Linked DNA regions of Ovis aries. The protein of the gene in region 2 interacts with the protein of the main gene of each other region in a pairwise test. Links are inferred from orthologs where the notes say so. Each region holds a gene or a part of one and is shown on either strand. Other genes may lie near its edges.

Evidence for each region.
Region 1: the proteins of CCND2 (region 2) and CDKN1A interact in binary tests that used the Homo sapiens proteins (3 or more experiments, as listed by UniProt). The link is inferred for Ovis aries from reciprocal best matches to the Homo sapiens genes CCND2 and CDKN1A.

What each region holds. Positions count from the first base shown.
Region 1 is NC_056073.1:10,679,077-10,684,840, forward strand, and holds CDKN1A (cyclin-dependent kinase inhibitor 1), read left to right. Parts: upstream 1-1,999; coding exon 2,000-2,435; coding exon of another isoform or gene 2,436-2,632; exon of another isoform or gene 2,633-3,870; coding exon 3,871-3,920; downstream 3,921-5,764. UniProt on the Homo sapiens protein: Plays an important role in controlling cell cycle progression and DNA damage-induced G2 arrest. Involved in p53/TP53 mediated inhibition of cellular proliferation in response to DNA damage.
Region 2 is NC_056056.1:211,596,494-211,601,697, reverse strand, and holds the end of CCND2 (G1/S-specific cyclin-D2), read left to right. Parts: exon of another isoform or gene 1-2,493; intron 2,494-3,273; coding exon 3,274-3,423; downstream 3,424-5,204. UniProt on the Homo sapiens protein: Regulatory component of the cyclin D2-CDK4 (DC) complex that phosphorylates and inhibits members of the retinoblastoma (RB) protein family including RB1 and regulates the cell-cycle during G(1)/S transition.

The sequences.
Region 1 (5,764 bases), on a different chromosome or scaffold from region 2:
TGAAGAGAGTGAGCAAAGGTTATTTATGGGCTTTGTCCACTGTGCTGTGTAACCCCTCTCTCTATGTGGTATGTGGCAGCTTGAGTAGACGCTATTGATCTTTTTAACCGTGTGGGTTCAGGGCAAGTCTTAAAACTCCTGCCCTTTAAACTCGGTCAGAGGTCATCTAGTGCCCTCCCCTCCCCTGTGTGCTGAGACTTGGAGCTGTGGGCTTCACTCACTGTGAGAGGTGGAGTGGGGACAGGTAGGTATGGTGTGGGTCCAGGGCTGCTTGCCCCAGGAGGACCCTCAGCAGGGCTTTCACCTTCAGAGCCTGCAAATCAGGACGTGTCCCCAGGAAAACCCAGTCCCTGTTAAAGTCATGCAGGTGCTCAGACCTGGAGTCAAGCCAGAGCCGGGCAGGGAGGTGCCAGCACCCCCTCATGGGCAGGCTCACCTTCAGTGTTCCCTCTCCTTTAGTTTTCCCTCTCCCACTTTAGTGGGAGGAGAGGAGCCAGGTAGACCGGTGCCTTTAATTTTCTTTGCCTGCAAAACGGGTTCCTTGGATGCAGGCAGAATGGGGCAGGGGCTTCCAGGTTGTCTAGACTTCAGGTCACCTGATGTACCTGGCAGGATGTGGCTCAGCCTGGGAGAAATCATTGCTCTGCCCTGCCCTGCCTGGCTCCTCCTTACCCGCAGGCTGCCTGCCTGATGACATCCTTGGGAAAGGCCCTCAGCCCACAACACCTGTCAGCTGCTGTCTGAAGGAGGCGGTGGCCCAGGTGGAGTGATGGGGAGGAGTCAGCCAGAACTAAAGGCAGAGAGAAATAATATTCTCCAAACACTTTCTCTGTACTTGGTACGGCTCAGAGGGCGTTATCTACAACCGCTTAGCGAATTCTCACATCTGGCCTCTGAGACAGTCGCTGTTGTTATCTCCTTCTAGAAATGACACCAGAAATAGATGTCCCTTTCATCATAGGCGACTGGAATGTAAAAGTAGGAACTCAGGAGGTACCTGGAGTTACAGGCAAGTTTAGCCTTGGAGTACAAAGTGAAGCAGGGCAAATGGAGTTTTGCCAAGGGAACGCACTAGTTACAGCAAACACCCTCGTCCAACATACACAAGAGACAACTCTACACATGGAAATCTCCATCTTATACAGGAGGAAAACAGAACCCAGAGAAGTTAAGCCACTTGTCGAAGGTTGCCCAGCAGAGCCTGGATTCCAACCCAAGTGGCCTGGTTCCAAAGCCCTCACCTTGAACCACCAAGATACAGCCGTTGAACTCTGCTCCATCTGCCTTGCCTGGCGGGGCCCGCCAATCATTTCCTTGAGCCTGCGTCTACAGCCCCACTCTTTAGACATGTATGCAGTCCCATTTTACAGATGAGGAAACTGAGGCCGGGGGACTTGAAGTGACTCTTTGAAAGTTGAGGTAGGAAGTGGCAGAGCGAGGACTAGAACCCAGGTGCTTTTAACCCCAAAATCCAGAGTAGTTTTAAGTCACTGAGCAGGATTACTCCACATGAGCATCTAGATGGAGGGATTTGAGAGGAGGCATCCATTTTCTTGGGAATTGACCTCCCCGGCCAGGCCTGGAGTTAGGAAACTGCTGGACTCTGACAATTCACACATACCTGGGGGCATTCACACCCATGAGGGACACCTCAGTGGGAAAAACAAATTGATTTTAGCTGATAACACCCAGTGGTAAACAGGACCCTGATCCCTGCTATTGCAATAAACTTGCCTTTGTTGACATAAACTTGCCCTTCAGCTGCCCACTCCCCCAGTGACCTGGGGGTGTCAGGCTGACTGACTCTGCCCCTCACACCCTTTCTGTGGGTGGAGGTTGGGAGAGCCTGTGGGAGGAACCCGAGAGCCCCTCTCACCTCACTTTCTAGTAAGGAGACTGCGCCTGAGGTTACGCAGTGGCATGGCCCAGAGAGGGAGCGTCCGACTTCCTGAGTGTCTCACGTGCCCCGGGTCTTCCTTGTGTTCCAGCCACAGGTGCCATGTCTGAGCCGTCCAGGGACGCGCATCAGATCCCCCGCAGCAGCAAGGCCTGCCGCTGCCTCTTTGGTCCAGTGGACAGCGAGCAGCTGCGCCAGGACTGCGACGCCCTCATGGCCAGCTGCGTGCAGGAGGCCCGAGAGCGATGGAACTTCGACTTTGTCACCGAGACGCCCCTGGAGGGGGACTTTGCCTGGGAGCGTGTGAGGGGCCTCGGCCTGCCCAAGCTCTACCTGCCCGTGGGGCCCCGAGACGATGTGGGAGGGGGCAAGCGGCCGAGCCCCTCATCCGCCCTGCTGCAGGGCACGTCTCAGGAGGACCACTTGGACCTGTCGCTGTCCTGCACCCTCGTGACTCGCTCCCCTGAGCGGCCCGAGGGGACCCCTGGTGGGCCTGGTCCCTCCCAGGGCCGGAAACGGCGCCAGACCAGCATGACAGGTGAGGACGGGAGCAGAGGTGGCGGCAAGGGATTAGGACTCCCAGAACTCACTGTGCCAGGGCTGACCTGTCTGGCCCAGCTTACTCATCGCTCTGAGGGGTGGGAAACAGGCCCAGAGAGGGGAAGTGGCTTGCCTGAGGTCACACAGCAAGTCTACTACCAAGACCAATTAGCTGACATTTATTTGGAACATTGACTATGTGCCAGGACCTTTGATAAGTGTCTAGATTTCTTTTAGTCCTTATAGTGATCTAATATCATAGGACATTCTTGGCATCCTTTTACAGGCAAAGGAACAGGACTCTGAGAGGTAGAATGGTTTGCCTTAGGTCCCACACTGAATTTACCATGGAGAGTAAATGAATGATAATTTCCTGGCTGCCTTATCCAAACCTAACTCGCCTTCCCCTTCATACATACACACCTTCACCTGCACTTCCTAGCCTATTTTTCTCTTTTTGGCACTTTTTAAACTATCAACAGCTACTTCCATATTTTGATATAGTCCATCTTCCCAAATAGAATCCTATCATCTCCACAAGAAAGAAATCTGTATCTCTCTTGTTCATAATTGAGTCCTCAGCACCTTGGATGGTGTGTGACACATAGTAGGTGCTTGAGGGAAATGGAATAAGTGAGGCTGGCAGTTGAACACTATGCCAGGCCTTCAGCCAACGTCTTTTTATTTTTTACTTTACAAATGTATTACTGTTATTATTTTGGCTGTACGGCTTGTGGGATCTTAATTCCCTGAGCAAGGACAGAACCCAGGCCACCTCTGTTGAGCGCAAGGAGTCTTAGCCACTGGACCACCAGGGAAGTCCCCACCAAGGTCTTTCCGGAAACATTTCATTTAATCCTCTGAGCATCGTACCAGCGTTATCCTCATTTTATAGGTGAGGAAATGGAAGCTTGGAGCAGTGCAGCCAAGAATCCCACAGCACATTTGCAGCTGGGTCAAAACTAACAATAATGATAATAATAATAACTAACCTTTATATGGCTCAGACATCATGCAGAACGCTCTCTGATATATCAGGCTCTGCAAAGAAGCAGATGCCCAGTACCGCTGGCCACATATCACTGCTGAGTGTTTGCCATGAGGAACTAAATTTTTCTATTAGTCTAATGCTAGTTAATTTAAACAGCCGCCTAGGGTTAGCGACCACTGCATTTGGGCAGCTTGGCTTAAAGCAGGCCCATGCATGTAAAGTCTGTTATTGATCACGTCTGTGAAGCGTGGGGGGATGTCCTGTATGTATGTAGCCCTCCGGGAGAGAGGCTAGAAGTTTCCAGAGTTCTTCCCTATACTTGGCAATGTGTCTCTCGGGCCCTGGGGAGGGGTCCCTGGCCCCTCTGCAGGTTGCACTGCGCAGGTGGCTCTGCTGGGCCCTCTTCCTCCTGACCTGGCTGACATCTGTTCTCTCCCCCCAGATTTCTACCACTCCAAACGCAGGCTGATCTGCTCCAAGAGGAAGCCCTAACCCCGCTGCTGGAAGCACGTCCTCGTGGAAACAGGGGCCCACTGCAGGCCTCTTCTGTACCTTTTGCCTTGGTCCTTCAGTTTGTGCGTCTTAATTATTATTTGTGTTTTAATTTAAACGCCTCCTCTTGTACATACCCTGCTTGCTGCCACCCTTCCCACACCCCCAGCCTCTGGAATTATTTAAAAAAGAAAAAAATTAGCAGAAAAAATAGGCTTATTAGATTGCTAGGTATTTTTATTATATGAACCGTTATTTAAACCCTCCTCATTCTTTGCTCGGAGAAGGCAATGGCACCCCACTCCAGCACTCTTGCCTGGAAAATCCCATGGGCGGAGCAGCCTGGTAGGCTGCAGTCCATGGGGTCGCTAAGAGCTGGACACGACTGAGCAACTTCACTTTCACTTTTCACTTTCATGCATTGGAGAAGGAAATGGCAACCCACTCCAGTGTTCTTGCCTGGAAAATCCCATGGGCGGAGCAGCCTGGTAGGCTGCAGTCCATGGGGTCGCTAAGAGCTGGACACGACTGAGCAACTTCACTTTCACTTTTCACTTTCATGCATTGGAGAAGGAAATGGCAACCCACTCCAGTGTTCTTGCCTGGGGAATCCCAGGGACGGGGGAGCCTGGTGGGCTGCCATCTATGGGGTCACACAGAGTCGGACACGACTGAAGTGACTTAGCAGCAGCAGCAGCATCCTTTGCTTTCCTCGTCCTCGCTCCTCTGAGGCTGGCGTGACCCCCATCCTCTGGGTGGCACTCTCTGGAGGGGCCTGGTTCCCTCCCCCCTGCCATCTGATGGGTGTTACGAAGTCTCGCCCCCTCTTTCCTGCATTCTCAGACCTGAATTCCTTACAATCTGAGAAGTAAATAGATAGCACTTTGAAGGGGGCCCAACAGAGTTGGAGGCATCATCAAAACTTTGGGTTCCCCTTGCCCCTCTAAGGTTGGGCAGGGTGACCCTGAAGTGGGCACAGCCTGGAAATGGGGCTGCGGGATTGGACACCCTTCTGGCCCTTGATTCCCACCTCCGTCCTGTGAAGGCATGGGGAAGGTAGGGGCCCGTAGCAAACCACCCCTGCCTCCCACCCCCCCACCCCCATCCTCAGGGGAGCCAATCTCAGTGTTTGGCTTCCCTGTCCCCTGCATTTTTCCAGGAGCCCCAGAGGCCCCTGTTTCCCAGCCAGGCTCTCAGTCCCTCTCTGCTCCTCTCCCTTCCTCCATGCCCTTTCCCTTTAGTATCTTCTCAGCCCTGGGTGGCAGCTCTGAGGGGGTGCCCTAACCCCCAACTCAGTGGACTGGTGGAGGAAAGGACATGCTAGACATAGGGTTCCCCAGTTCTACCTCAAGCAGCGACTGCCCCCTGCTCTTAGCTCTTGGGGTGGGGGGTCCTGGGTGGTCAGGCAGGCCTCCTTGAATGGGGATCTCTCTGTGTTAGGGGTAGGTGGGTGAGGAGCAGATTTTTCCAGGAGGGACAGTGTGACACCAGCCCCTGGAACTCGTCCAAGGACTTTTTCCATTGGCCCCACCCCTTCCCCCATTTCATTGCACTTTGAATAACAGCTGAAGGAGTCAGATGGCGGGAACAGAGGCTGTGGATAGGATATGCTAAGTGGGCAAATATGGGTCTGGGAGCTGTGAGTCATTGTCTTTCCTGGCGCGGAACCTCTTGGTGGGCCTGAGCCCAGATGCCTTCCAGCTCCTGTAGCATCCTGGCCTGGACTGTTTTCTCCTGGCTCCCATACGTCCTGTTTCTTCTGTCTCCACCTAGACTGGAAGCCCCTCAAGGGCAGGGAGTAAGTCCTGTACTGCTCTGTGTGCTTCAAAGCCCCGCCCACAGTG
Region 2 (5,204 bases):
AGATTCTGTAAGGATTTACCTGTGTCCACCTAAGAACCCCACCCGAAGACACACTGCCGTCACTCTTCCCCAGCTTTGCCTCTTGTTCCCTTCAGACTCCACAGCTTGTTCCCCCATCTATTTGTTTGTTTCCGTCTATAGGCTTGGCCGCCACCTCCCTCGGAGTCACACCCTCCACCCTGGTCCCTGCTGGGGAGATTGAGAGCCCTTTGGGCAGGCCTTGGTGGGGGTGCCAGTCTGCTGCGGGTAGGGGCACCAGCCCACCCTCCCTCCAGCCTCACTTTCCAGCAGCTCACAGGAAATTCACAGTCGTAGGAACTCCACAGAGGGGAAGGGCTCCTGCGATGCTGAAGGAAGGTGTTAAAATGCAGGGAGTGGGGAATTGCCTGGAGGTCCAGTGGTTAAGACTCTGCACTTCCACTGTGGAGAGCACCGGTTCTATCCTCAGTCTGGTAACTTAAGATCCCACATACTGCGGCCAAAAAAAATTATAGGAAAGAAATGCAAGGCATGAGCTCTGTTCTCCAGGAAGAAGGAGGCTGATTTCTTACCTTTGTGCCTCCAGCAGAGAACTTCAGCATCCTTTATGCAAAATGAGCTCTTGCCCTCAGGTAGGTTTTCATCCCACCAATAGCAACAGATCCCACAGTTAAAACTTGGATGCTGTCAGCAGTGGAACCAGAGGAGGGTTAGACTTGGACCTCAGAGTGCTTCCCAGGAATGGGAGAGAAAATTGGCTGCTGAGAGCCTTTGCTTCCTGCTCCATCCTCATTTCTGCAGCAACTGCTACGGTCCTTCCTTTTCTCTCGAAGCAAGAAGTATCAAAGAGGAAGAGCTGGTCACTGTCAAAAATGATTTACATTGACTGAAGGAAGGAGAGTCTGTGTTTTGTGTGATATCTTTCTTCATTTTATTCAGGAAAGCTTGAAGGTTTGGGGCTGCAAGTTAATGTACTTGTGATGTTCGATGCCTGTGTTATCTTGAAGTCCTGTAGAAGTGACTGCCCGGTGTACCAGCCCGCCCCGAAGGACTTTCTCAGAACTTTCCTTTTAGGGTCTCAGGCTGCTGGGAGGGAAGCCTGAATACCAGGAAGATCAGGCACCTGGGTGACCTGCAGGGAGACTGTCCATGACCCCCTATCAAGCTGCTTAGCTCTCTGGAGCCCCATCCCCATGTTCAGAGGACCACCCATCTCAGCCGCTGGTGTGGCTAATGCAGAAATGGTCATGGCATCCTGGGTTCATCGTATTGTTGGGTAGCAGTTGTGTTGACACAGAAACAGAGTCTTGGAGGAAGGAAAGTCGACAGGGTTGGTGGAGAGCTTCGTAGGGGACCAGCCAGAGCAGTGTTGACTGTTGTCAGTTTTTGCCTTGTTAACCTGATGCAAAGAGTGAACTCATTGGAAAAGACCCTGATGCTGGGAAAGACTGAGGGCAGGAGGAGGAAGGGGCAACAGAGGATGCGATGGTTGGTTGGCATCACCACCTCAATGGACATGACTTTGAGCAAACTCCAGGAGATGGCGAAGGACGGGGAAGCCTGGCGTGCTGCAGTCCGTGGGTTCGCAAAGAGTCTGCATCCCTGCTGGACGCTCCATCCCTGGTGCGCGTTCCTCTGTGCCCCTCACCTGTCTTGAGCAAATGCTCACTCGTACCTCATTTCAGAGAAACCTCAGGAATTTGTTCAGATTCCAAGACTTCCACTTTGTGATGAACGATTAGAGCTTCATTTGGACATCTCAACTGATCCTCCCTCTGTGAGCGTCTCCTGAGTCTTACATTACAAATGGGGAAACCAAGGACAGAGAAGGAGAATAACTCAGTGGTGCCCACAGGTCTGGTCGTGGGGACAGCAGATACCACCTCCCTCTGTCCCTCTTCACTCATTCTGAGTGGTATTTCGTATCTGCTCTCAGCGCTCGGTCCAGATGTTAATTTTCCTAAAAAGCTGTGGTTTAACAGTGTACGGTGGCCGAGAGATACAAAAGGAAAATGTGGGGGCATGGAAACTTTCCTGGGAGTTCCAACTTTATTTTAGATCTTTGGAAAATAGAGATAATGCTTGTGTGCTTGGCAGACTGCAACCTCTGGGCAGTGAAAATTGCGTGGTGGAGCAAACACAAGGGGAACATACATGAAACTCTGAAAAGACCCAGGCAGAGTGGAGTTCACATAGTTTCCATACGTTTACGAGAGTGCCAGGAAACCAGTCTTGATGAGTAGAGAGGTCGGGAGATGCTGAGTTGGCCAAAAAGTCCATTCAGATTTTTCCACAACATTTTACAGGAAAAGCTGAACGAACCTTTGGCCTACCCAGTATCTGCTGTGAGCAGTTACTTCAGCTCTCGCCCCGGTTGCTAGTGCCAGCCACCGTCCCACCCTGACGACGCCCATGAATTCCTGCTGCGTCAATGTCGCCCAGTTTAGAGGAGCTTCTGCGTGGGGCTGACACACCCTGAATCTTCCCTACCAAATATAGACTGATCTCAAAGCAGTGCTGCAGTTTTTTCTTTTTGCTTTCTCCCAAATTAGACGGCTTAAGTGTCCAGAACGTTGTAAACACTCTGTGTTGTGTTTTTTATGAGAGTTAAAGAAATGGTAAACAAGTGGAGAGGCGAATCTGCTTGTTTCTGAGTACGGTTGCAGTGGCTGGGAGGCTCAGTGTAGTTTAGTCCTTTCGCTTATATCTGCCCTTCAGGTCGTCTAGTTCTGTCACACTGTCTGGAGGGCTCACCTTCCCCTTTTCACACTCACCATGCAGTGGCCCCAAGCAGGAAGCATCCCGCTGGCCCTTGAGTTACCAGGTGCTGCATGGCCGCAAATGGCCCCTCGCCTTGGCCAGCGCTGCCCGGGCTTCTGATGAAATGCACATCCTGAGATGCAGCTGGTTCGGAGAGGGCTGAGAATCGCATTTCTAGCTAGCTTCCAGGTGGTGCGGATGCTGCAGATGCTGCTGGCCTGTGGACCCCGCTTGGAGTGGTTCCCCGGCCACCAGGAAGACGCACCTCCTTCCATGTTGACTTTCTTTCTACTGGAAGCAGAGAAGGACATGGCAGCCCACTCCAGGATTCTTGCCTGGGAGATCCCATGGACAGAGGGGCCTGGCGGGCTGGAGTCCAGGGGGTCGCGAGAGGCGGAAATGACCTGGTGACTACACCACCACCACCTGCTGGCGTGTGGAGTCAGGCGGGCTGGAATCGTGCGTGCTCTCTGTTGATTGCTGTGTCCCGGTGCCCTTGCTAACGGCCCTGGTCTCGATGCTTCTCTCTTCTAGGATTGCCTCAAAGCCTGCCAGGAGCAGATTGAGGTGGTGCTGCTGAACAGCCTGCAGCAGTACCGTCAGGACCAGGGCGACGGATCCAAGTCGGAGGATGAGCTGGACCAAGCCAGCACCCCTACGGATGTTCGGGATATCGACCTGTGAGGATGTGGGGCGGGCCCAATGGGAGGGGTGCGTCCAATCCGCTCTCTCCTTCTCTCTGGTTGTATTTGGTTCTCTTACATTTTAGGATGAAACTTAAAAAAAAAAAAATTCTGCCCCCACCTAGATCCTATTGAAAGATCTTTTAGAAGTGAGAGATAAAGGTCCTATAAAAACAAAATCATTACAAGCATTTGGTGCCTATTTGAAGTACAACAGAAGGGAATCCCTTATATATGCCAAGTTACTGTTTGATGATGTTAAAAGTCATAGTAATATGCTTACAGGAAAACCTGCAGAGTAGCTAGAGAAAAATGTACGCCTGCACTATGGGAACAAATTAGAGACTCTTTTTTTTCATGTTATGAACTAGCACGTATATACCCCTGTTGGATAATTTGGAAGAACTGCGGATGCCACGTATGGCAGGATTGGATTGTGAAGCAATGAACTTGAGAAGGAATTAGGAATCAAGGAGGGACAGGATGGGGAGGGAGTGACAAACGATCTCAGCGCAATCGAACCATTTTGGGTGGAGAAGCGCCTAACTCCCAACCACCTGTTTGTTGCTAAGCAATGCTGGGTCTCTAGTGACAAGTCTTGCTGCCTGCCGTAGCTGCTACCTAAAAGAGATGTTCTGTTTTGCCCGTTGGACACAGGTGATTGGATCCTGGGTTTCATGTTTTTCTATACCTTGCTTCTTCTTCCAAACTCGGTTCGTTGCAGACACCACCCCATTTTTATCTTAAAGGGGCAATCTAGCTATGGGCCATCCCCCAAACTCTGTGAAATGGAGGCAGACGGAGCCCCAGGGTGGGATCTGGAACTTTTTTTTTTTTTCTCCTGAGGTGTTCAAGAGAGTAATGTGACCTTGGCATCCCTCATTAGGAAAAAAAAAAAAACGTGATTTTTTTTTTTGGTGCTGATTGGCATGTCTGGTCCACAGGTGAGCGTTGGTATAAACCATTCCATTCGAAAAGCACTTTGAAAAATTGTTCCCGAGGGGGTAGATGGATTGGTTTATGCAAATCATACAGAGTAGAGGCCTCCTTCCTTCTCCTGTGCCCCCTCCCCTCCTGCCCCCCAATCAGGTTGCTGTCCTGTATCCGATACTCTCTGGGTTCCCCTCCGGGGACTCAAAGACACATCCCCTTCCGCAGAAATCCCTATGACAACATTCCTAAAAGCAGAGATCTGTAACCATTTTGATGGCACACAAGGATCTTAATTCCCACCTCTATACTTCCCCTTTGGACATGGAAAGAAACATGATTGCTGGTGCAAAGACAGACAGCGGGTCATCCGTGTGGCATTTTGTTCCCGTTTCCGTTTTGTTTCTTTTGTTGTTGATTTCATTGCAAAGTTGCATTCAGCGTACTTGAACTTTTTTTTCCTCTCCACGTCTTAGAGGCATTCAGTTAGCAGAGAGGTTGAAGCACCAACTTTTTTTTTTTTTTTTGCACAATTATAATTGACAGGTAATGAAGCTATTAAAATATTTGCCTTTTTAAGTAAAAAAAAAAAAAGATCAGAACAGGGCTACTCTGAAGAATTATTTTATACGCAGATTCTGCCTTGTTTCATAGTATTGAGGGTTTAAGATGGAGAAAAATCTAAGGGTCTCTTATTTTTCATTTTATTATGTTCAGTTTTTTATTATTTTTTTTTTTTTGCGCTGCTAAGAAGCTAAGATCATTCATCGTTATCCACATTAACAGTACCTAGCTGTAATGTTTCACCGAGTGTGCTGCTATTATATAAACATTTTTATAATATATTATTTT